Linked DNA regions of Caenorhabditis elegans. The protein of the gene in region 1 interacts with the protein of each later gene in a pairwise test. Each region holds a gene or a part of one and is shown on either strand. Other genes may lie near its edges.

Region 1 (9,893 bases):
TTTTCTCATTAGAGCTCATTTGCAACTTATACCTTAATCCGACAACAACATCTAAACACGCTCTAATGACAAAAATAAAAGTTTCCTACAATTTCTCAATGGAGCGTACTTTTAATAATTGGAAAATTTGAATATCTCGCTTTGGAAATGTGGTCCTCAAATTTTCTCAATGTAATGCGCTTACACGTGGTGTAAGAGAGTCTCATTTCGGATTGATCTACGTTGATCTTCAAAAAATGCGGGAGTGTGCGGGACTGATTTCGCATGGTTCAGAACATGCTGACGTCACATTTCATCGGGCAAAAAATTCCCGCATTTTTTGTAGATCAAACCGTAATGGGACAACCTGGCACCACGTGCGCTTGATAATCACAATTTTTGGAATGGAAAATCCTAACGCTCATTGATCACTTTTTCGTTGGAGCGCATTTGCAATAAAGTATAAAATATCGAGTTTTTGTTAGAAAAGTTAAAAAGCCGAAAAATTGAAAATTGGACTCAAGAAAGCACCAAAAAATGCGAAAAATTGCTAAAAAATAATAAAATTCTTCAAGCTTTTGAACTAAAGCCACTTCCACTGTTTGTGTGTGTGTGTGTGAATTTGAACTTTTTACCTAGACCCCCCTCCTCTCCTCGATATCCCTCTTAATATTTGCCGATCATAAAGAAATGTTTGAAATGTGATCAGGTTACTCTTACCTGGATCTTAAGCCTGGATCATAAGAAAAATCAATAATTTATTAAAAAAAAAACAGTATTGAGCAAAAAAGAACACACACAGACAGAAAAAATCACAAAAAAAACCCGTAGCTGCTGTATATAGGCACCCAAAAGTTTCTCTCTCTCTCTCAGAAATTTATGCTGGCCTCCTTATACTCGGAAGAGTCCAGATTGAACAGATCCTCCAACTTCCATTGGAGGGTCTCAAAGGTTGGCCGTTTGTCCGGGTCGCTTCTCCAGCACTGTTGCATTATGTCGTAAAGGGTGACTGGGCACCCGGCTGGGCACGGCATACGGTACCCGGCGTCGACTTGTTGTAGGACTTCGGCGTTTGTCATACCTGGAAATGGTAAAGAGGTGTCATTGTAGTGTGATCTACATAAATTGCGGGGGGATTTTCGCTTTAAATTTGCCATTTCATATTCCCAAATGGTTCGTAAAGGACCAGTTTAGTAACCTAGACGTGGTGTCAGGCTGCCCCATTTCGGTTTGATCTACGTAGATCTACTAGAATTGCGGGCATTTAGACGCAGACTTTTCAACTGATAAACGTGCTGAAGTCACATTCTTTTAAGGGAAAAATTACCGCATTTTTTTGTAGATCAAACCGCAATGGGACAGCCTGACACCATGTGCTCGTGTGACCTCCGGAAATGGCGGGAAATTTCTTTTTTGAAATGTGTGGCGTGTTTCTGGGGTACTACACGGTTTGATCAACAAAAAATGCGGGAGTTTTTCGTTCTAAAAATCACTTTAGAACTCTGCGTCTCAACTCCGCGCATTTTTTGTAGATCTACGTAGATCAAACCGAAATGGGACACTCTGACACCACGTTCTACAGTAAAACTTAGGCTACATCGCATTTTTCAAAATTTGAATTTTCCGCGATTCCCGGAGATCAAACGGCGAAGGGCGCAGGAATATTCCACATTTTAGTTGACGCGACCTATTCCCAAAGTTTTGCGAAATTTTCAAGGCCCCTTCAATAAGGGACTTAATTTTTATAATTAGCGAACTGGTACCATTTTGTAAAAAAAATAATTTGACCTCAATAAAAGGCGGGATGTTAGTTTTCAAAAAAGCTCATATGACGTCAAAATTTTTAATTCAAATTCCCGCCACTTCTGGAGGTCATGCGGCAATGAGACCATCTTACGTTGTGTCAGGCTGTCTCATTGCGGCTTGATCTACAAAAAATGCGGGAATTTTTCTCCCAGAAAATGGTGACGTCAGCACACTCTTAACCATGCGAAATCAGTTGAAAAGTCTGCGCCTAAATTTCCGCAATTCGTGTAGATCAAACGGGTCGGTTCAAATCCTCACCTGGATAGGGTAACCGTCCGAACGTGACAATCTCGGTGAGCAGGATTCCAAAACTCCAGACATCCGACTTGGTTGTGAATCGATTATAGTTCGCCGCCTCGGGCGCCGTCCATTTTATCGGAAACCGTGCTCCGGTTCTTGCTTCGTACTCGTTCTCCTTCATCAATATCCTGGCTAACCCGAAATCTGCGATTTTTACAGATAGGGAGTTGTTGATAAGGATGTTTCGTGCTGCTAGGTCTCGATGGATGAAATTCATCTCCTCTAGGTAGGCCATTCCAGCGGCAACCTGCAAAACTTTTTTTGAAATTTTTTTTTAATTTCGAGGAATCCGAACGTGAACCTCACCTGCGCCGAGATCTCCACCAGCTGAGGCATCTGACACTGCCGACCTCGTCGCTGTAAGAATGTGAGCAGATTCTCCTGCATTAGCTCGGTGACTATAAGAATCGGCTCATCACGTGTGCAGACTGCATACAGGGACAGAAGCTTCGGATGCCGGAGCTTCTTCATAATCTGTGCCTCGGCTAGGAAATCCGTAGGATCTGCGGTTCCGGCCTTTAGCTTTTTCACAGCGACGGGGACGTTCACATTCCATCGGCCTTCCCATACCTGGAAATTGATGGTTTATGTAGTACATCCAGGATCTGCAAGCTGATTTGCAAGTGCGCTCTAATTAAAAAATGACAAATGTTCTCACTAGAGCGCACTTAAACATGCAAGCATAAGGGGGGGGGGGGCGGGGTTAGGTAAAAAGTTCAAAGTTCAAACACACACTTTAGTAAGCTGTAGTAAGAATTTTCGTATGTTTAGCCATTTTTCGCATGGTTTTGAAGCTTCATAGATTAAATTTCTTACAAAACTCATATTTTCGTTCATGCTTGCAAATTTAAGTGCGCTCTAATGAGAACATTTGTCATTCATTTTAGGGCCTTGCTATCTATATTCGAGGTTGAGTTTTTACTCATGGTGCATCGACATTTCCTTATAACCCTAGTGGTAAATCTCTATGTTCCAGATCCCTTCGTTTTATGAGATCTCCTAGCGGAACTGATGTTTGTAGGGGAGTGATATCATGTTTCAAACCGGTCCTATCTGTTTCAATATTGGCGGCTGTAGCTGCTCGGATCAGGAGATGGAAAAGTCAATAGAAAAAGGGGAAACCGTTTTATCCGGTTGTTTTAGGATCTACACTAAAAGCCCCTGGATTAAGAAAAACACGGAAAAATAAAAGCCTGAAGTTTTTTAGTCCATAGGCTGAGAGGTTTCTGGGAGTTACACTCAAAATAAAAAACTAATATTTAGGCCCCGCCTTTTTCTCGTCCGCTCACGGAGAAAAGGCAAAAATATTGACCCTAACCAATATCAGGCCGCCGACATCTCACGGGTTTCGCGCGCCGCTGCGTTTAACTTGCTGTGGGCGTGACGAGCTGTCTCCGCCCGCTGCGAGTTAAACGCAGCGACGCGCGGAACCCGTGAGATGTTGGCGGCCTGATATTGGTTGGGGTCAAAATTTTTGCCGTTTCTCCGTAAGTGGACGAGAGAAAGGCGGGGCCTAAATATTAGGTTTTCTGCAGTACACGCCACGCAGTTTTTTTTTATTTTGAGTGTAAAGTAGCGCCTACACGGATTTCTGGCTCCCCTCATAAATTGAGATGGAAGAGTTTGCCGAACAAGGCCATTTTGGATCGGCCATATCTGGGGTAGAATTACGGCGCGTTGCGTGTCGCGTCGCGGCTCGATTTTAGTTTTAAAACTTGTTGTAGTTGTCCGTGTGGAGTGCACGATTTTCCCACGCGTTGTCCAGGTCAATGGAGCGCGAAAAAATCAATAAGGAAGGCCAGAACCCCGTGCGCCTAGAAATATCAAGAAAAATTCTTGCTCATGCGATTTTTTGGGGTTTTTTTTACAAAAAAACCTAAAATTTTTCAGGCTCTACCCTAACAATTGTAATTTGGGGCTACACATGGTGCATCGGGGACCCACCCCCCCCCCCCCCCCCCTGCAATTTTCCCCTAAGATCATCTCCTTACCCCCACTCAATTAGCATATCTTCTCCTGTTTATCTCGTTCTCCATCAATTCTCTATACACACACACACACACACACACACACACACACAAATATACATCAAACACGAACGGAATAGGCAACAGGAGGAGGAGGAGGAGGATGAGCCTGTGCACACTATTTGGCGGGCTGTGGGGCTGGCGGGCAGGCAGGCAACGTGAATAAGCAAACAACCGAAAGAGAATGATGATGCTTACCTCTCCAAACTGCCCGGCTCCAATTTGTCGAATGAGACGAACCGAACGGCGGTCCACTTCCCATTGGTCATCTGGAATGGGAATTTTGAACATTTTTAAAGGTAACTGGGCGCCTTGTGGGTCCCTGGAATTGTTTGGCCTAGTAGGTAGGCACAATAATGCCTGCCTACCTTTAAGTCAACTTTGGCCTGAATTAGGTTCGCCTTTTGCCTACTGGATTTACCTAGGTTTGTAGTAGGTATCTAAGCATGTAGTAGGTATCAAGGTATGTAGTAGGTATCTAGGCAAGTAGTAGGTATCTAGGCACGTAGTAGGTATCTAGGCATTTGGTAAGAATCTAGGCATTAAGTAAGCACCTAGGTATCAGGTAGGCATCTAGACACGTAGTAGGTATCTAGACATGCAGTAGGTATCTGGGAATGTAGTAGGTTAATAGGCACGTAGTAGGCATCAAGGCATTTGGTAGGCATCTAGACATCAATAAGTTACCTAGGTATATAGTTGGTATCTAAACATGTAGTAGGCATCTAGACATCAAGCAGTTACCTAGGTATGTAGTAGGTATCTAGGCACGTAGTAGGTATCTAGGCATGTCGTAGGTATCTAGGCATGAAAAAGGTATCTAGGCATGTAGTAGGCACCGAGGTATCTAGTAGGCATCTAGGCAGATGTAGGCACCTGTCAGGCATAAAAACTTCCAGCTTACCATATGTGAATGTCGTTGTCTGTGGGGCTTCTGACTTGGCACAAGGAGCTCCCAGATTCACACAAAGACCATCGGCTTCTCGTTGGTAATGTGCAATCAGGTCGTGTAACGTGGCAAACGGGCGCCTCCGGGCGATAAAATACCCGCCGTGGTCCAGTTGACGGATACGGTAGTGCTTTACGCTGTCGTTCTCTCGGACTGCAAGAAAATTGGGATTAATAGGGGGATTTTGGACTACAAACTACAATCTTCAAATTTAAGAAAACTTGGAATTTGATGAGTTTGTTTTTTTTTTGACAGTTTTTGGAATGTTACAAAGGAAAAAAAAATACTGAAATATTATAAATTTGAAAAATTCAAAATTCCCAAAAAAACGTTTTTTGGTAACTCTCAAAAGAGCTTTGAAAGGTTTTCTACAAACTACAAACTACAAACTACAAACTACACACTACAAACTACAAACTACAAACTACAAAGCACGAAATACATATTTTTTTATAATTTTTCAGAATTGTAAAATTGAAAATAAAGATAAAAACTTTTTGTAATACTTTCAGAAAAAATGAAATCTATCAGTTTTTCAAAAAACATTTATTAAAAAATTAGAAAATTATTGGCAAAAAATTCAATAAAATTTTTTTAAAAAAATCGAAAATGATTTTTCGAATTTTTTAAAAAAAGTTTTAAAAATTAAATAAACATCTATGTATATTCCATCTATTTTTGACAGTTTCCATCTAAATTCCCCCATCCCAAATTACCCATCTAAACCCATCAAAATCTCCCAATTTGCCTCCTTTCTCCCAAATTCCCATTACTTTCGGAATCATAAAAGGTCGGGGCGAGCGGGGATAACCTCTTTTCTGCCTCTTACTGTCACCGCGCCTTTCTCATTTTGTTGTATCCGACCTTGATTATCTCTCCCAGAAAACCGGTTTTCGCCCGCCATGTGCCCTATGGGGCGCCCTTAAAAGTTCACTGACCTGATAATGATAAATCATGCTGTCGACTTTCGGAATCTCTCACTAAAAATGCTCCGTGCTCATTTAAAGTGTGCAATAGACATTTTTCCGCATCGATTCGCCGCATTTTTCCAAAGTACCACCTGGAAATTTGTAAAAATTTAGATTTTCGGATTTTTAAAATCTTATTTTTTGAATCCCTGTAACTCTGCAATAAAGCAAGCTATTAAAAAGTTGTCAACTATTAAATTGTAGCAAATTTTATGTTCTACAGTTTGCTAGTTGCCAACTTTTTGATATCAATCAATTTTAAAAAGTTATCATAGTTTTAAGGCCTACACGGATTTCTTCTAGAAATCCCTATAACTTTTTAATGGTGTTAGCTATAATATTAAAAAGTCGCCAACTAACAAAATATAGGGAATATTAAGTACTTGATTTTAGGTACTACTACCAGTGAACTACAAAATTATTCGAGTTTTAAGGTTTTAATGTGAGTTGGAATTTTTCTAAGTTTCGTAAAAATGTTATTTTTTTCAAAATTTCGTTAAAGCTATGTAACTCTACAAACATTAAGTTACTGAAAAGGTTCAAAATACGAAAATGTAGTAAATTTTACAATTAACATTTTGTCAGTTGACAACTTTTGCCGGTAAAAATACACTTAAAGAGTTGAACCATTTCTACGCCTGCTCTGATTCCCCGCTGACACCTCTAAAGTGCTATAACTCTTCACTGGTGCTAGCTATCAAAAAAGTTTAAACTAACAAAATGTAGGAAATTTTCTGCTCTACAATGTGCTAGTTGACAATTTTTTTGTATCTCACAAGCCAAAGGAGTTATGACAGTTTTAGTTACACCTGATCAAGCCCCTGTGACAACTAACAAAGAGGCGCTGGATAGCTCAGTAGGTAGTGGTAACCACCAGCAATCTGGAGGTCACAAGTTCAAGTCCGGCCTCTCTCCCTAGGCTGGCTAAAAATTCAAAAAAAAAAAAACTTACGGCTGTGACTCGATACTTTTCTCCCTGGCAACATAATTCGACGGGATATACCCAGTCCGTCCAGTTGCCTTGTGCCTGGCGAACCACCAGTCTCCTTGGGTATCATTTAGAATTTCAAGGATCTGAAAGAATGAGATATGGAGTTTCAAAAAATAAAATAAAAAACTAACATCATCCTTCTTAAAACTCAAATCATCATCTGTCCGTGCATCATATTGGAATAAAGCGACAAAATTCGCAGATTGCGAGATATTCTGATTTTTATCAATCGTATTTCCACTGGAAGACGCCGCAATCGGACCGATGGACGGAATTCGTGGATGACTTGGCAGTGACTCCCTTCCCAACGTGGATGACGTGTGGACTGGTGACGTTGCACCAGGCGGTGGATCCTCTTTTCCAATACAGGATCCCATGGGGAGGAACGGACGATCCTGGTGTCGTCAGTTTTTTGATTTGGGAGGTTCTGGAAGAAATTTAGATAGTTCTGGTTCATTAGGGTTCGCTGGACAAAATATAGCGTTTTAAAATTGTCAATTAGCAAATTGTAGATCAAAAAAATTAAATTTACTACAACTTGTGAGTTGACAACATTTTGATAGACACTAGCACCAATTAAAGTTATAGTTATAGGGGTTTCCAGGAGCCAGGGCAAAATAGGTGTGGGCGTTAAACTGCCATGAATCGTTTAAATATATATATATATATATATGCCAATTTGTTTTTTGATATGCCAATTTGTTTTTTGATATGCCAATTTATTTTTTGATATGCCAATCTATTTTTTGGTATGTCAATCTATTTTTTGATATATATATATCAAAAAGTGGTCAACTAAAAAATTGTAGATTTCAAAGCTTACTTCGTTTTATCAGTTAAAAACTTTCTGACTACTTGACACGCTGGGGAGCTACAGGGTTTATAAATCCAGAAAATTCATTTTTAGCGAAACTTTAGGTGGGAATTTGGAAAAATGCAGCGATAAATGTCTGCTGCACAATTTAAAGGAGCCTGGAGCATTTCTTTGTAAGCGATTAAAAAAAAGGGCCCAAGAAAACTTGCAAAAATTTTTAAGATGATCAGTCAAGTAAAAATAATTTTGGACTAGTTTCAAAAAAGAAATAACACAAAACTTGTGAACCAATAAAATACTTAATGCGAAATTTTCTTATATTTCTTCGTTATGGGGTTTCAGGGGCAAGCTAGGACTAACTAGCTGTATTAAATCGACTATAACACCTTCAGATTAATAAATATAAAAAAGTTGTCAACTAACAATACATTACGCATAAAATTTGCTACATTTTTTTAGTTGACAACTTTTTGACATCTAGCCCCAATAAAGAGTTGTATGGATTTCTAGGAGCCATAAAAATAACTTTCTGGACTACTACTATATCTATTTTATCCTGAAAAATATGAAAAGTTGTCAGCTAATAAAAATCAAAAAATTTGACCGTAAAATTGGCACTAAATTATAATATATGAGTTACAACTTTTTCAATATATCAATCTTCTAGAGTAGAAAATTCAGTTTTTAAAGTAAAATTTCAAGCTAAAAGGTTACAATAAAGCAGGAAAGGAACTCATAGTATTAATCGAGAACTATTATAATTTCAGTGCCTAGAATTTAAACTGAAATTTCTCTCGAATAAAGTGAGCAACAAAATTTAGGGATCAAAGTTTTTTAGGCTAACAATATTCCGACAAGGTGTCAGAGTGTCCCATAACGGTGTGATCTACAAAAAATGCGCCAACTGTTGTCGCACGGTTAAGAACGTGTTGACGTCACAATTTTCTGGGCCAAAATTCCCAGTTCCAGGAGTTTTTCAGCCAAAGCTAAAAAATCTTTTAAAAAAGGCCTAAAAACTATGTTCCAAAGTAGTAGTATAATCTAAAATTGGGGGACCTAAAAGGAAAACTACATTTTCTATCTTTGGCGAAAATTGTATAATAAGAACTATGAAAATACAAAATATTAGGTAAAAAACCCAAAAGCCGGAAAGAAATTCATTTAGCCGGTTGCTGGCTAGCCCACCGTCTTTGGGGTGAAAAAGAAGAGGGAACTGTTTTTGTCTCATTCTCTCTTCATCCCTCTCACTATTTGTCCACCGAGGTCAGGCATCTCTCTCTCTCTCTCCCTCTCTCCGCCGCGCCGTTTAGCAAACATTTGCGGAACGCGCGTGCCTTAAACTCCCAATTGCAGGTAGCATACTGATCCCAAGAGACGCAGACCTACAAAAATGGCAATTTCGACAGCAGCGGAGGCGCCCGCGCGCTGGTGGGAAAACATCTTTTTTTGCGCGCGGAGAGGACAGGGAGAGAGAGAGGATGATGAAGCTGTCATTATCAAATTAGATTTGATTAACAGGCTAGGGATTTAAGCTTTCATTGGATCGGTAAACTTTTTATTAAAATTTTTCAAATTTTTTGAGAAAAAAGAGCGAATTTCTGGAAAATTCTGGAAAGTTGCAGTAATTTGAGAACGGCTCCAGAAAAGAAAACTTCAGGAAAATGTGTAACTGCTAAATTTTTAGTTTTAGGAGTGCTTTGGATTCTAGGATTCTACAAATCTAGAAAAGATGATATATTTGCTAGTTAATAATATTTTGGTCGAACAACTCGGTGTCACACAGCATTCTCGTAGATCTAAGTAGATCAAACCGACATGGGACGGCCTGACACCACGTGCGACTCAGTTATTCAAAATTAGTCGATAGAGCGCACTTTGCCGACTTTATAGTTTTCTGTAAAAGCGGGCTACATGTAGCGACAGACAATTTGCGGGCGGGAATCTAATGTGCTTTATTCAAAATCTTTTTTATAATATTCCAAAGAATCAATAATTTTCCAAAGGATCAGCCACTTGAGATGTTCATCCGTATAGGATGGTTTCGGGATTTCCAGAGGGG
Region 2 (6,887 bases), on another chromosome or scaffold:
CAACAATGTCAACAAAACTTTTCGTTCCGACAATTGTTTTATAACCGTTCAGCGATACAATCTGGGTCGTCGTAACATAACAGGTATCACTTTTTGCGGTTACAAAACGGAGAAACCATAAGATCTAGGAAAAAGCGGTGTAAGTAGTAAATTGAATGAAGCAACTGGAATATGAAAAGTAAAGCTTAATTTTAAAAGATCTAGAGATTGGATTCTAGAGGAAAACACAGCTTTAGAGATATTTTTTCCAACACTTCTTGTGAAATTTTTTTTCAAAGTTGAATTAATTCAAACTCAAATGCATTTTCTACTTTGTGATACATTTAATTTGAAACCGAAATTTTTTTGAAAGGTCATATATCTTCTTAGAATTCTGTAATTTTAAATTTGTTCTACTCAATTTCTTGAACTAAAAAACTGTTTCTGTCAATTTTGCTTACAGTAGATTTATTGACGCAAAAGTAACCACTCTTATTTGACTATTCATTTTTTTTCGAGTACATCAGAAGATATTCTACAGTTATGATGCATAAACGACATAATGCAGGTTTTGTCAGTGACAGTTTTTTTATACGGTTTGATAAAGTTTTGAGAAAAGTATTTGCAACGTTTATGAGTCTTAATTTTTTTTTTTTCAAATTTTCCTATTTTTATTGTGTATTTTTTACATCTCCGAGAGAGCGTAATAAATTAAAAAGTTTTAAAAATATTGTTTCAATAAAAAAAAACAATTTTGATTCTAATCAAAATGCCAAAACATTTGATTGACAATGGAACATACTATAACAATTCTCAATAAAACAGTTTCTTCAATTTGGAACACCTAATATAAATAAAACCATGAACTAAAAACTAAAACTAGAATACTTTGTTTTTAAATAGACAAAAAAGAAAGCGGCTACATGAAATGGTCAAAAGTATCATCTAAAAAGCGGGAAGTGGAATGAAAGAGAAGATAATACTGGAAAAAAAACATTGTGCAAACAATCAAATAGATGTCGAGACCGAGATTTGCACAAACGGGGGAAAAGAGCTCACCGCTCTACCTATCCAATTTTTTATTTATTTTTCAACCTTAGATATTGGTTTTGATTTTGGTTTTTATTCCACTTTTTATCTAATAGTAAGTGTTAACCTTCAATTCTTTCGCTCTATACAGAACCTCATAAATCAGAAGGTGTGATGGTGATGGCATTGAAAATTGTATAAGGAGAAACACAAACGAAATGAAATCTGCGTAAGATCATAGTTGTAGGCTCTACAATTTGATTGACAGGCGGTTTGGATTAATCTACCTTTTCGGAGTGAACGGAACGTTGTACACTGAACGGATATGATGACTAATTGGTAGTGACGGTACAATGATTTGATGACAAATGACCAGAAAATGAAGAAATCCCGAGACATAAAGAAAAAACAAAAAGTGCGAAAGATTGGTGACTTGAAGAGGAATAGAGATGGATGCAAAAGTCAAAAAATCAAACATATTGTATTATATGAACACAACGATGTACAGAGAAAAAAGAAAAAGGGGCAAAAAGGCAGAAGAGCTGGCGGGGTTGTTTTGTGTGAATCATCTGAATAAACAGGGCTTTTTATATGCGTTAGCTGGTACGTATATGCATATTTGTGTGTATTGACAAGGTGGCTGAGGTTGGTGCATCTCCTTTTTGTATACCGTGCAGTGCACGGCAGTATCTTTTTACTCGACTTTTCCCAGTTGGCATCGTTTGAGAAAATTTTCCGCAACTTAGTTTCACTAAGGAAAATTATGTAAAAGTAAAATTCACTTTCACTATTGAGTTGTCGGCTTACACTTCGGTTCTCCTTGGGTTTATCAAAGAAAAAAATTATGTTGAATTTAATATTTCTTAGTTGACTATTTTGACTATTTTATTTTTTTTTGATAAAAACAAAAATTACCCAAGTACTGCCAAGGTGGAGCAAGAGGGTACAAGTGTTTTTTTTTTCAAATTTAAAACACGAATAATCCCTACAATAATCAATTCACTACAAATATAAGTAAAAATTAAAAAGTTCAAGTTCGTTAAACCTACTAAGTATACTAAGTAATTACAATCGAGACATTTGCAGATTTTTAGTTGAACAAATAAATTCTAAACTGTATAAAACTCGTGAATATAGAAAAGTAAAAGTATAACACAAATTCAACATATACACCACAAATACCACATAAGAAGCCAGGTAGTAGCACATTAAAAAACACGACAGAGGTTAGTGGCCAAGACGATTTGGAGGAAGGGCAAACGTCTGTGACCCTCTCTGTTTTCTGCCCCTCTTGACATCTCCAACGGAACAATTGAACAGTTTTAATAAGGTTGCTAGAGTCTGGTGGAATGAATGAGTCGAGATTTGATGAGTTGAGTTAGATGGTTCAGAATTGGTAATTTGAAGAAAATTGGCCAAGTGGAATTGGGAAAAGATGCGAATTAAGAACTGAATACTAAGGTAGGTAACGTAAATTAAACTAAAAATAAGCAAATTTCTAGTCAGTGACTCATAATCAAGACATGGTTATTAGATAAATTTCAGGAAAGAAATAATAATTTTGACACTTTTATAATTAAATTTTTGATTTATTGCTTCACGTACAATTTTGAATAACACATGTGTTGTGAGTAAATTAATTGTGAATTTTTGCTCAAAAGTTGTATAATTTTACAATGTATACATTCTATTCCGTTACCACTATTATTAAAATTATCTTCATTCAATATCATCTGGAACTGTTCGAATGTGGGGTATCCCTAGCATATTAATATGATCAAGACATTTACACTATCCGAAAATAGCCAACAAACATATCAAAAATGTATATAATTTTTAAATCACACACAAAATCAAAACAAAGTAACATTTACTTAGTTTCAATAAATCATTTGGAAGTCAACCAAAAAATACATGTCCTGTCAGTTTTACACATTAAGGAGATTCATATTATTTTTATATATACATTGTTGTGTTCAAATCTCCAGTAATGCCCAAAATAATTGAGAAATTATTTGAAAGCAAGACATTTTTTCAAAAATAATTCTTATTCTCCCGAAAATAATTCTTCCGAAGAACATGAAAACTTAAAATGTGTGTAATTACGATATTTAATCGTGTTTGACAATTATTCATATGTGAATGAAAACAAAATTCCGCTTTCAAGACGTTAAATGTTAAAACTCAGTTTTTAACCTATACGGCAAAAGTATAAAAAATTGATAATGTCTTGTGAAAAGAAAAAACAATCAAGAAAAGGTCTCACCTGTATAAATACACCCTCTTCTACAATTTCGGTGTCGGAGCTGGTATCGGATGAGGAAGACGACGCCTCCTCAACCTGAATATCCGGATTTGCCGCCGTGGTGGTAAGTCGTTTCCGGGCCGTGGCGAACACAATTATACGTAGAGAGAGGACAAACGCCTGAATTCAGAAAGCAAATTAATTGGTGAATTGTTGTAAGAAGGTGTGTGGGAATTGAAATGGAATGGTGAAGGCGTCAAGAATTCAAATTTTCTCTAATGAATGGATAGTGTATCTACTGGACTAGTTTTCCTCTTTCCTCTCAGTTTTCAGATCGCCAAAAGGGCAAAAAGTTATCGGAACGAAGGCCCTTATGTAATGAGACGGTTGAAGGGCCACCCGACAACCACAAGACGCAATTAGTATCCGAAATGCAATGATTATTAGAAAAAAGTGGAAGTGTGGTGGTCATGTCTGCAAGCGAATGTACGAGATCCACAATTGCACGCTTTTGCTGCCACCCATACGCGAAACATTTTGAATTTAATAAATTCTGAGAGCGGAAAGCCCGGTGTAAAAAGAAGAATATGCTTGGAAATAACACGGGAAACTGTGAGAAATTTGACACGATTTAAAGAAAAAGATCCGCATTTTTGATACCCTTTTGTTCTTATTATAATTGAGAGAGGGAAGGGTCTCAGGCTGAACGCTTATTTTAAAGAAAACATATGTCAGATTCAATATCATATAGAGGGATGTGATATAAATATAAAGATGGACTGAAAAAAAATCATCGTGAAACTTCAAAAATTTTTTTAATTATTATCCAATATTTACGAATTTTGACAATTTTCGAGAAAGGCGCGAAATCTGAATGAATATCTCTTCTCGAATGAAAATCTCGTTTTGGCCTAACTTTACCTTTAAGTTAAAAAATTTAATAGGAGTATTTTTAATTTAGTATTAACTTGTATTAAAATTATGGCAAAAATACTCACCAAAATAGCAGAAAATGCTGTCTGTAAGATGGCGTTGAAGCCGTCCGGAGGACGACTTTTCTGTGACCTGTTGTTTGACGATTGTAGATTTTCTATGTCCATACAATTCTGAAAAAAAAACCTTTAAAATTTTCATCATTCCTTTTTGGAAAAGCGGATAGAATTTCAATCAAATTGCCTACATATTGCTGAATGTAGAATAATGGGTTTCAACAATAAAAAATGATTCAATAGGAACATGAATTGTTGAACGGAAACTTAGCAATTTAAAAAGGCTTGGTTAGTTTTTTATACAACAATTTGAAATCATTGTTTTGTTGAATAAAAAATTTGAAGAAGGAGACATGTGCGACCACGAGATGTTCCATGATTCAGACTATGATGTATCAACAACTTTATGCATATGTAGTGAAAAAATACGATGATGGGAGAATAACACACACGAAAATGAGCGAAAAACAAAAGAAGGATGTGCTACGGAAGAAGTAAAGAGCTCTCAGGTTTCTATTATGTGCCAATTTCTTTGTACTGTCAAGAAGAGAAGAGAGTGTGGTGTTTGCTCGTGAGTTCTGGCGAACACGAAGACAAGTTGGTAGCGCATAACAATTGCTTGTGCCGCACTAAACCACTTTTGCAAAATCTTTTATCTTCTTTTATCTCTCTAGTGATTTCAATCATACATACGTGCCAGTTTCACACCACAGATTACTGTGCAATAATGGAGTTACATCAAACTTCAAGCTAGTAAAACATTGGGCTTGGTTAGAAAATCAAAATTATTCGTATTTCTTTGTTAAATACAATAAATACTCTTCATATAGAAGTTACATTCTTTTAATAAAATGACAAAGTTAATTACAAAACAAGTTTTGTGATCTACAGAGGTGCGCGGGAATTGGAAAAAAAAAGTATCTCAAATTCTAAAATTTTTGAATTATCTCAAGCAAACGGATGACAAAAAAACTCTACTAAAATACACATGACATTTCAAGCTTAAATTTGTTAGGTTACAAGATTGCCAACAAAATCCGGCAATTCCTGTAATTTTTATTTCCAATGTTTTCAAAATTACCAAATGTCGCGCACCCCTGAAATTGAAATAGTTCCAATTTTGAGTTTAAAAATATTTAAAAAAAAATATTTTAAAAACATCATCTGAAGTTTTCAGTGTTACCAATTCATAACGTGAATAGTTTTTGGCACAGAAACAATTCGAATTTGTTTGAATTTAGATATTATATTATTTTATTAATGATAAAAATATAGTATTCAGAGGTGCAAAAAAACTAATAAAATGTAAAACTAAATTCACAGGAGATGTCGACCAGCAACATGTAATACAACATGATATGTATACAAAACAACAACAAGCAGTAGCAGATTAATAGTTGCATACTTTAGTAACGGTTAATGATGATGTTTTGTGAAAAGATGAGGATAAAAGCTTAGGTTTTTTTTTAAACTCCAGACTTGATTGATGAATTCTAGGTGATTTTGAACAAATTCTGAAAACATATGCTACTCTCCAAATGCAATTGTTGAATTAATCTAGGCAAAATGATGATGGAGAAATTTATAGTGCATTTATTTATTATGAATATAAATATCGAGAGGAATGGAATGAAAGATAGTCGGGAGTGAGAATGAGCGAGAACTCGTAAAATTGTAACGAACTACAGATGCGAAAAGTGATAAGAAATAAAGATGGAAATACAACAGATTATGATAATGTTTGTGCATGATGTTATGTGTTATAATTCGGTTTAAGAATGAAAGTGGTCAGGAATCTAGAGGAACGTTGAAATTTCGAACTACTTTTTTTAAATGAATCTCACTAAACAAAAAATTAAGATTACACGAATATTGAAAACTGTTTAACTTTGCAAACACAATAGAATTTTTTTCAAAACGGATTGCCTCACACTATGATATGACGGATTTTCCGGTCACCGGCACCTGTCAAAGATGATTAATCAATTTGTTTATTGACATTTCTCTCCTCGTTCACCGATAGTCTGATTATAGGGAAAAGGACGAAAAAGGCGATGATAGGATGACGGGCGAAAAGCTTTAGATATAAATATTTATTTGTTAAATGGATTAGATCACTTCCGAATGATGATTTCATTCAGGACGTTTGAAATAATATTGTCTAATATTGGTGGCTAAATTAAGGCAAAATATTAAATAAGTCAATATTACCGAGATTGGAGAATGATTGCACTACATATTAAATTTTCCAAAAGATATCTATTACTACTAATAATAATTTACATCAAACCTCGTAAATTTTTATCGAAAAAAAAATTTAATAGAGAATTTTTTTGAAAGTGGCATTTTTGTAACAGGTACATTTTGAAATAAATATTTTCATAAGGGGTAGACGGCAATTGCCGAAAAAACCGATTGCCACAATTTTTAAAACTCAACATCTGCCGAAACATCCGAAATGCCCAACATTTTAGAATGCCGTCCATCCCGGATTGTGACTCAAAAAAAATCTGTTAAATAGTTGTACTTATTAATTATTCAGCAGTGCTAAAATGAGTTAGTTAAAAATATTTTGATTTTACAATAAAACATAACAACCTCAAAATCAAGTTAAAAAATTTTCATTATTAATGCTAGTGATATGT
Region 3 (6,882 bases), on another chromosome or scaffold:
ACGAGACATATGACCAAGTTTGTGGCAGTTGTAGCATATACCTGTAAGAAACAAGTAACTTAATTATTATGCCATATAAAGTTTAAACTTTGTTCCAAATTGTGCATGCTTGAGGTTTCAGAACTGTCAGTGGGTTCTTGAAATTTACAGCAATTGTTATGGGGCATGACTGAAAATTCGGAATATTGATAGTGAGTCACAAATATTTACAGGTAAAGTAGCTCTAACTAAATAATACGGTAAAACTTTTCAAAATTAATTTTTAAAAATTTTGGCATTAATAAGTGACTGAACATTTTTGGCAGTTTGCCAAAACTTTTACTGTGAATTTTCACATTTCTGGAAAATGTAAAAATTCTTTATTAATAATAAATATAATACTATTTTCTAGCAAATGAAAAGTTATCTGTTTAGATATATAATTGTACATATTTGGTAATCAAGAAAATGTTGAAATATTTCTTGCGAAACCTCTCTGACCATGTGCCAAGAGAATTAGACACACTGGCAAAAAGAAACGCGGCAGTTTGAATTTAATATTTTTTTTGTATTCAGTTTCCGTCCTACCTGGCTAGATAATATATTTTTCACTTCTATATTAATAGTTTTTCTCCAAGTTAGTTTTTCAATTAATTTTTTTTAAAATCCTATTTCTCTCTTCAAATTCTAAGTATTTTATCTCAAACTCCTTTTAAAAAGCGACTACTGGAGACTTTAAGATGAGCCCCGGTTATTATTATCGCTACGAGACCCATCTGAATGAATCCGTGCGTCTTTAAGTTCACATTATAGTATTATGGTTCCAAACTTAAGGCCACACAATAGTTCAACACACGTCATTTCTAGCTAAAAAATATTATCTTGAATAACTCAATGTTCAATAGGAGAGACGAAAAGATAATTTAATGTATTTTCTGTTGATACTTTTAACTATTAATTTTGTTTATTAAATGTGATAACTTCCACTATTCCATAAGATGGATTCAGTTACATTTTTATTGCATTCAATTGTTGTTTATATTGGTGCGCAAGTCCAATCGAATGCGTTGTCCGTCTATCCTCAAGAGAACCGGTCTTTCCGTTTCCTCGACTTTTATCGATTTTTGCATTGAACTGCGTGTTCGGTTTGATTTAAAAAAGGTTCTGTATTTTTTAATTTATATTTTAAATTTGAATTTTCAAAAAACTTTCCAGCTACATTTCGAGTTCTCGTCTTCTTCAAAATGTCCAATCTTTTTGACAAATAAACTCATGTGCCTGGACCGCACTCAAACAAACGTACATGCAATCTGAATGTTACATCTTTTCTTTATTTATCTCAAAAAATTTGTATTTACCCAAATACTCATTTAAATAGCCACAACATTTTTAGTCATGTTGGTACCCTTGAAAAGGTTGCTCTAAACTTTAAATTGTCAATTTGAAGCTCTATTTGAGATGGGGTGGGCTCTGGGAATCTTGTTATCTGCTCACTGGGTTTTTGTCGGTTTTCTTTCATTCTAAAGCAATTCTGGATATTTTTGAAATTTTGATTTCTGAAAACTTTCCACTTTCCACTTTCCACTAACTACTATCTTTTTTCTTCGTTTTATTTCAAAAAGAAAGAAATAAAGCGAAAAATTATGTTAACCTGTCGCTAAATATCGGAAAATCTCATATTGGCTGGGTACCGCCACGCGATGTATAATTAAAATAAAATTTTAGTGTGTGCGCCTTTAAATGTTACTGTAGAATTTTAACAATGTTTTTTTAACTATAAAAACAATTAATTTTGAGTTAAATAACAAAATAATGGAACATTTTAAAAAAATTAGAAGACACAATAATTTTCTTTCCGCAAATAAAATCGAAGAAAACAAGCCTAGAAATTGTACAGTAACAGGCGCAGACACCAAAACTTTATTTCCAGCGCGCGCGGCGAGACCCATCCGCAGACATGCACCTCCCTTGAAACATGTTTGAATTTTTATTTTTGTTTTGTTTCATTTAAATGCATTTTTGAACATTTTCAGCGATTTTTAAAGATTTTTTCGTCGTAAATTCCGTAATAAATTTTTCAGAAACATGCTCAACCTTTGCCTACATTTTTTCGCATAAAATTTACCATTTTTGAAGAGAATCGCAATTTTAAATGGCATTTGCAACATAAACTATCTGCTCCGCAAGCCTCTTATCATTTTCCCTCGCTTTCTGTAAATAATTGTGTCAAAGCTCTCGTTCTCTCATTCTCTTTCGAAAACGTTCTCTGTCATTTGCTTGCTCGATGTTTTATTTTTCGGCAAAAAAAACCTAGCGCGCAAGGAAAACCCGAGGTCAAAACCAAAAATATTATTCAACACCAAATAGGTATATGATGCGGAAGTCTAATAATTGTTTGGACAACGTCCTTTTCTATTTGCTCACCGAAACGTAACACTGAGCTTCGCGCGCGCGCTTCGTCCACCGCTCTCCACTTATAGTACGAATCTTTATTTCATTTATTGAAATGTTGTCGTTCGTCAAACGTTCTAAACAACCCGCATATTTCAGAATGCCCGGCGAATTTGCAAAGTTTCCGGAGCAATCAGGTATTTTACGAAATAATAATAATTTTTTTTAAAACTATGTTTTTAATTTCAGCTGGATCTCATCAATTTCGTAACCCACTCGATGAACTTACGGGATCAAATACAATAACAAATTTAACTGCACACGATTTTGATTATTTTACACAGTCCGAGAAAAATTCAAATTTATATACAAGTGAAAATACAAGCAATTCTAACAGATTAAATCTCGTAAGTAACATTATTCTTGCTAAATCGATTTTTAAAAATTCGTTTTTTTTTTCAGAATCAAAATATACCGGTCGGCACATTAATAGATGGATTTGAGCTTATTAATGAAGCTTCTGGCTCCGGCTTTTTAGATGATCAATTAGTGGATGTTAGCGATTATAGCCGAGATAGGACGACGAAGCTGGATAGGAATAGGAATTCTCCCGAGCTAATAGTTGCTCTTTTGCAACGAAAAGTTCAAGGAATTCGATTTTCATCGAATTATGGAAGAGAGGAAGAACCATGTGTTATTGAGGTGATTGAAGTGGATTTAAATGAGGAAAATGAGCCAAAAAGACCGAATAGCGATAGTTTTCGGGGAAAAAAACAGAATTTCATCTAAAATCGCCAATTCTCCGTGTCGTAGCTGCCGAAATTTGATTTTTATTTATTTTTTGTCATCTTTAAGTTTTTTAAACGCTTTTTTTGTTGATTTAGGTAATTTTTGAGCCGATAATCGATTGATCAACGGAGAAACAACCAAAATATGAGAAAAAAATCCGGCCGACACTCAAAAGCGTGCATAATTTGATGTTTTAGCTGAAATCATGTTTTTGTAAAGCATTTTGGAGAAGTTTCGTTATGAAATTTGGTCTTTTGCTTATTTTTTCCACAATTAAACATTTTTAATTTTATTTTCTATTTTCAGATCCCACCAGGAACAATGGTTCGCGAAATGGCAGATGATGATTGGAAAATGTCTGAATTAAAAGAATGGTTCACAAAATCAAGAGCTTCTTCGCATTTACGTGATGGATTAGCAATGCCCATGGAGGTATCGTAATTACCCTGATTTTTGCGGCTAAAACTACGGTAGCGGGTCTCGACGCGACAAATTTAAAAGAACTGTAATTCAAAATTTTCGTTCCCGGCGAATTTTCATTGAATTTGTATAGTTTTTCTCCAGAATTCTTGTTTTTTTTTTTGAAAAAACGATTAAAAAATCGATAAAAATTCCAAAAATTTGTCGTTTCGAGATCGGCTACCGTATTTTTGGCACAAAATTTTTCGTCAAATTAATGCCTTTTCAGTTTCTCAATTTTTTTAAATTTCAGGAACTCGACTGCACTCCTCTGATTTGTGCAATGATTACCAGATCCGATGTAATGAGAATAAACCAAGATCAAGCAATGTATATTTATTATCTTTATAAATAAAATTTTTTCCCTTTTCAGACATCTTCTGGCTGTCAGTGTAGAGAAACGAATAGAAGTTTATCAAAATTTCGAATGGTTCAATTTCATTCTGAATCTGAAAATTGGCGATTCTGTTTCTGTGGAAGTGGTAAGTATTTGAAATTATATGTTTCTCAAAGGAATCTAGTTTTTAACCAAAAAAAAAGAAAAATAAAACAACGAATTCAAAATAAAGAGACGCAGACGAGAAATGGGCGTCTCCTTGTATTCAGAATTAGACTGTCACACGTGACTGATTGAAATTCCGATGGCATGACTAACTTATAAGTTTCTTGAAAATAATATAATGGGATAGGAATTAATGGCCCACGAGTCACATTTTTTGCTAGGCCTCTGTAAATTCCGCTCTGACAAAGTCAATTTTCCGGCTTTAATTAAAAAAAAAAACGAATTTTTTTGAAAATCGAAAAAAAATTGGAGTCTCTTGCTCGAATAATGAAATTTTTTTGTTTTTTCGAATGAAATAGTGATTGTGCCTCATCTTAAATAGTTTACTAGTGTCCAAAAAATCGAGAAATTTTCGTTTTTATTTTTTATTCTCAAACTCTCGATTTATATTTATCTCTTCTGGTCCGGGAAAAAATTAAATCCGGGAAAATTTCAAATGTACAAAAAAAATACATCCACATAGATTATGATACTTCTGATAAAGGGTGTCGTTTTTCGGTTTTTCCAAAATAGAAAAATTGGAAATCGAAAAACAAAAATTCTCGATTTTTCGAATTTTTAAAAATTTCGGAAAATCGAAAAATCAAAAAGACAATTTTTTTTCAGAAAATTAACCATAAAATATGATTTTTAAAGTTTAATTTCGTTTACATTGTTGAGAAAAAAACAAAACAATTTATTCTAAAATGAAGAACAATGAACAAAATTTTAAAGCTAATTTTAGAAAAATCGAAAAATGAAATAGAGAACCGGTTCACGATATCATTGACACTGACCGAAATATGTTTTATTGAACAACATCGAGAGGGATTAAGCATACAGTCGGCAGAAAATTGAGAAATTCTTTCAGTTTTAATTTTAATTTGAATCAGAAGCAAGGGCGTCGGGTTTTCAATTTTTGAAAAAACTAAAAATCGAAAAATCGAAAACTTTTTAGAAAAATCGAAAAATGAAAAGTTTTCGATTTTTCGATTTTTAGTTTTTTCAAAAATTGAAAACCCGACGCCCTTGCTTCTGATTCAAATTAAAATTAAAACTGAAAGAATTTCTCAATTTTCTGCCGACTGTATGCTTAATCCCTCTCGATGTTGTTCAATAAAACATATTTCGGTCAGTGTCAATGATATCGTGAACCGGTTCTCTATTTAGTTCTTTCTCTCTCTCTTTTCAACACAAAAAACATAGAGTTCCTCTTTCTCTGTGTGAAAGTATAAGTTATCCTCTTCTCTCTCTCTCTCTCTCTCTCTCTAACAAACTATTTGCCTGTTTAGTTGTTTCTTTCTTTCCTCTTCATCGTCTCAACCAACTTGTTTCTCATTTCATTGGCGACGCCCTTCCTTCTCCCAATTTGTTGTCATCGAACTTGAATTGATTGAAACAAAATCAGTTGGACAAACTTTTTTTGGTGATATTTTTCTTCTTTTTTTTGTCTGATGCACAATGATGTTTTGTTCGTTGGCTGACGCATTCGCTGCCCCGTTTTCAATTTCAGTTCCATTTTTTTTCATCCCTTTTCCATACAATCATTGCCTACCTACCTTTTTTCGTGACGCAGAAAAATAATAGAACATTTTTTGGTGTGTTTAAAAACCTATGGTGGTTCAAAAATTCCTTTAAAAATTTGTTAATTTTAGCTAGAATCAATCTCCAATTTTTCGTGTCTCAGCAGTCTTAAATTTTAAAACGATATGAACTCTTTGACCATTTGCGCTACAGTAGTCATTTCAAAAACTACTGTAGTTTTCGCTACGAGATATTTTACGCGTCAAATATATTGCCAAATCCGCATTTTCAGAATTAAATAATATAGTGAAACTGCCTCAAAACCAGCGAATTTCATAATAATAATTCTTGAAAAAATTTTAAAAATTCATAGTAAAGCACAAGAACCATTAGTTCCTTTTTTTAATTTTGAGCTCTTTTTTTCTGAAAACTTCAATATAATTTATTTTCAGGACGAAACAATGCGACGGGTTCCAGCAAAAGTGTCGTGGATCGGTGAGAGACCGGAAGCATCAGGAATATGGTATAATGTGGACTTTGACGGGAACACTTCTCAGGTTAGTTAGCTGTCTCCTCGTGAGGCAATTATTGTGGCCGTCCTGACGTCTTCCAGTTCTACTTCTGCCTCTACTTATTTCAAAAAGTGACGTCTTCTTCTATTCCTCCGGCTGTATGGTGCCTAGTTCCTTCCTTCCCTTCTTACTTCTGCGCTTCTCATCGACTTCTTTTTCTTGAACAAACGAACAAGCGGCTCCTTGTTTATGGGGTGTGTGCACCAAATGAACATGAAAAGTTGGCTCTCTCTCTCTCTCTTGCTTTTCCTTTCACTGACAAAACAATTAGAAGACGTTCGGGGCTTTCACTGAATCGTTTTTCCTCTTTTTTCGAGACCAAAAAATAACGATTCTATGAAAGTTTTAGTATTTTACAATCTGAAAAGTGTTTAGTTTGTCCAAAAACTCTCATTACATATTTAAAGATTTCTATGAAAAGTTCGAAGCTTTTTTGGAGAAATTGCTAAAAAGCTATATGGAATGTTTTTCAAAAAAAAAATTACCGAAAATTCCTTTCAAAAAATTACGACAAAATTCAACATTCAACATATGAGTGCAAATGTTTTATTTTTTCAATTTTTATTCTCAAAAAACAAACATTTTGCAGGCCGCCATAAAAAAAAAATCAATTTCCCACTCATATTT

The links.
Region 2: the proteins of src-2 (region 1) and ajm-1 interact in a two-hybrid assay, tested with the Caenorhabditis elegans proteins (one large-scale study listed by BioGRID).
Region 3: the proteins of src-2 (region 1) and cyld-1 interact in a two-hybrid assay, tested with the Caenorhabditis elegans proteins (one large-scale study listed by BioGRID).

The regions. Positions count from the first base shown.
Region 1 is NC_003279.8:14,319,791-14,329,683, reverse strand, and holds src-2 (Tyrosine protein-kinase src-2), read right to left. Parts: upstream 7,448-9,893; 5' UTR 7,398-7,447; coding exon 7,152-7,397; intron 7,104-7,151; coding exon 6,982-7,103; intron 6,122-6,981; coding exon 6,000-6,121; intron 5,215-5,999; coding exon 5,017-5,214; intron 4,382-5,016; coding exon 4,311-4,381; intron 2,656-4,310; coding exon 2,392-2,655; intron 2,333-2,391; coding exon 2,044-2,332; intron 1,061-2,043; coding exon 849-1,060; 3' UTR 719-848; downstream 1-718. Other genes in the region: F49B2.9 (uncharacterized protein), read right to left, coding at 9,787-9,893. UniProt on the Caenorhabditis elegans protein: Non-receptor tyrosine-protein kinase which may play a role in larval and pharynx development. Unlike src-1, does not play a role in embryonic development.
Region 2 is NC_003284.9:9,080,449-9,087,335, reverse strand, and holds the start of ajm-1 (Apical junction molecule ajm-1), read right to left. Parts: upstream 4,354-6,887; coding exon 4,252-4,353; intron 3,434-4,251; coding exon 3,275-3,433; intron 2,068-3,274; exon of another isoform or gene 1,865-2,067; intron 1,649-1,864; exon of another isoform or gene 1,507-1,648; intron 1,304-1,506; exon of another isoform or gene 1,113-1,303; intron 1,051-1,112; exon of another isoform or gene 903-1,050; intron 1-902.
Region 3 is NC_003281.10:9,906,306-9,913,187, reverse strand, and holds the start of cyld-1 (ubiquitinyl hydrolase 1), read left to right. Parts: upstream 1-2,529; 5' UTR 2,530-2,530; coding exon 2,531-2,567; intron 2,568-2,619; coding exon 2,620-2,777; intron 2,778-2,832; coding exon 2,833-3,072; intron 3,073-3,465; coding exon 3,466-3,591; intron 3,592-3,871; coding exon 3,872-3,948; intron 3,949-3,991; coding exon 3,992-4,100; intron 4,101-6,135; coding exon 6,136-6,240; intron 6,241-6,882. Other genes in the region: F40F12.9 (CCHC-type domain-containing protein), read right to left, coding at 1-41, 89-167.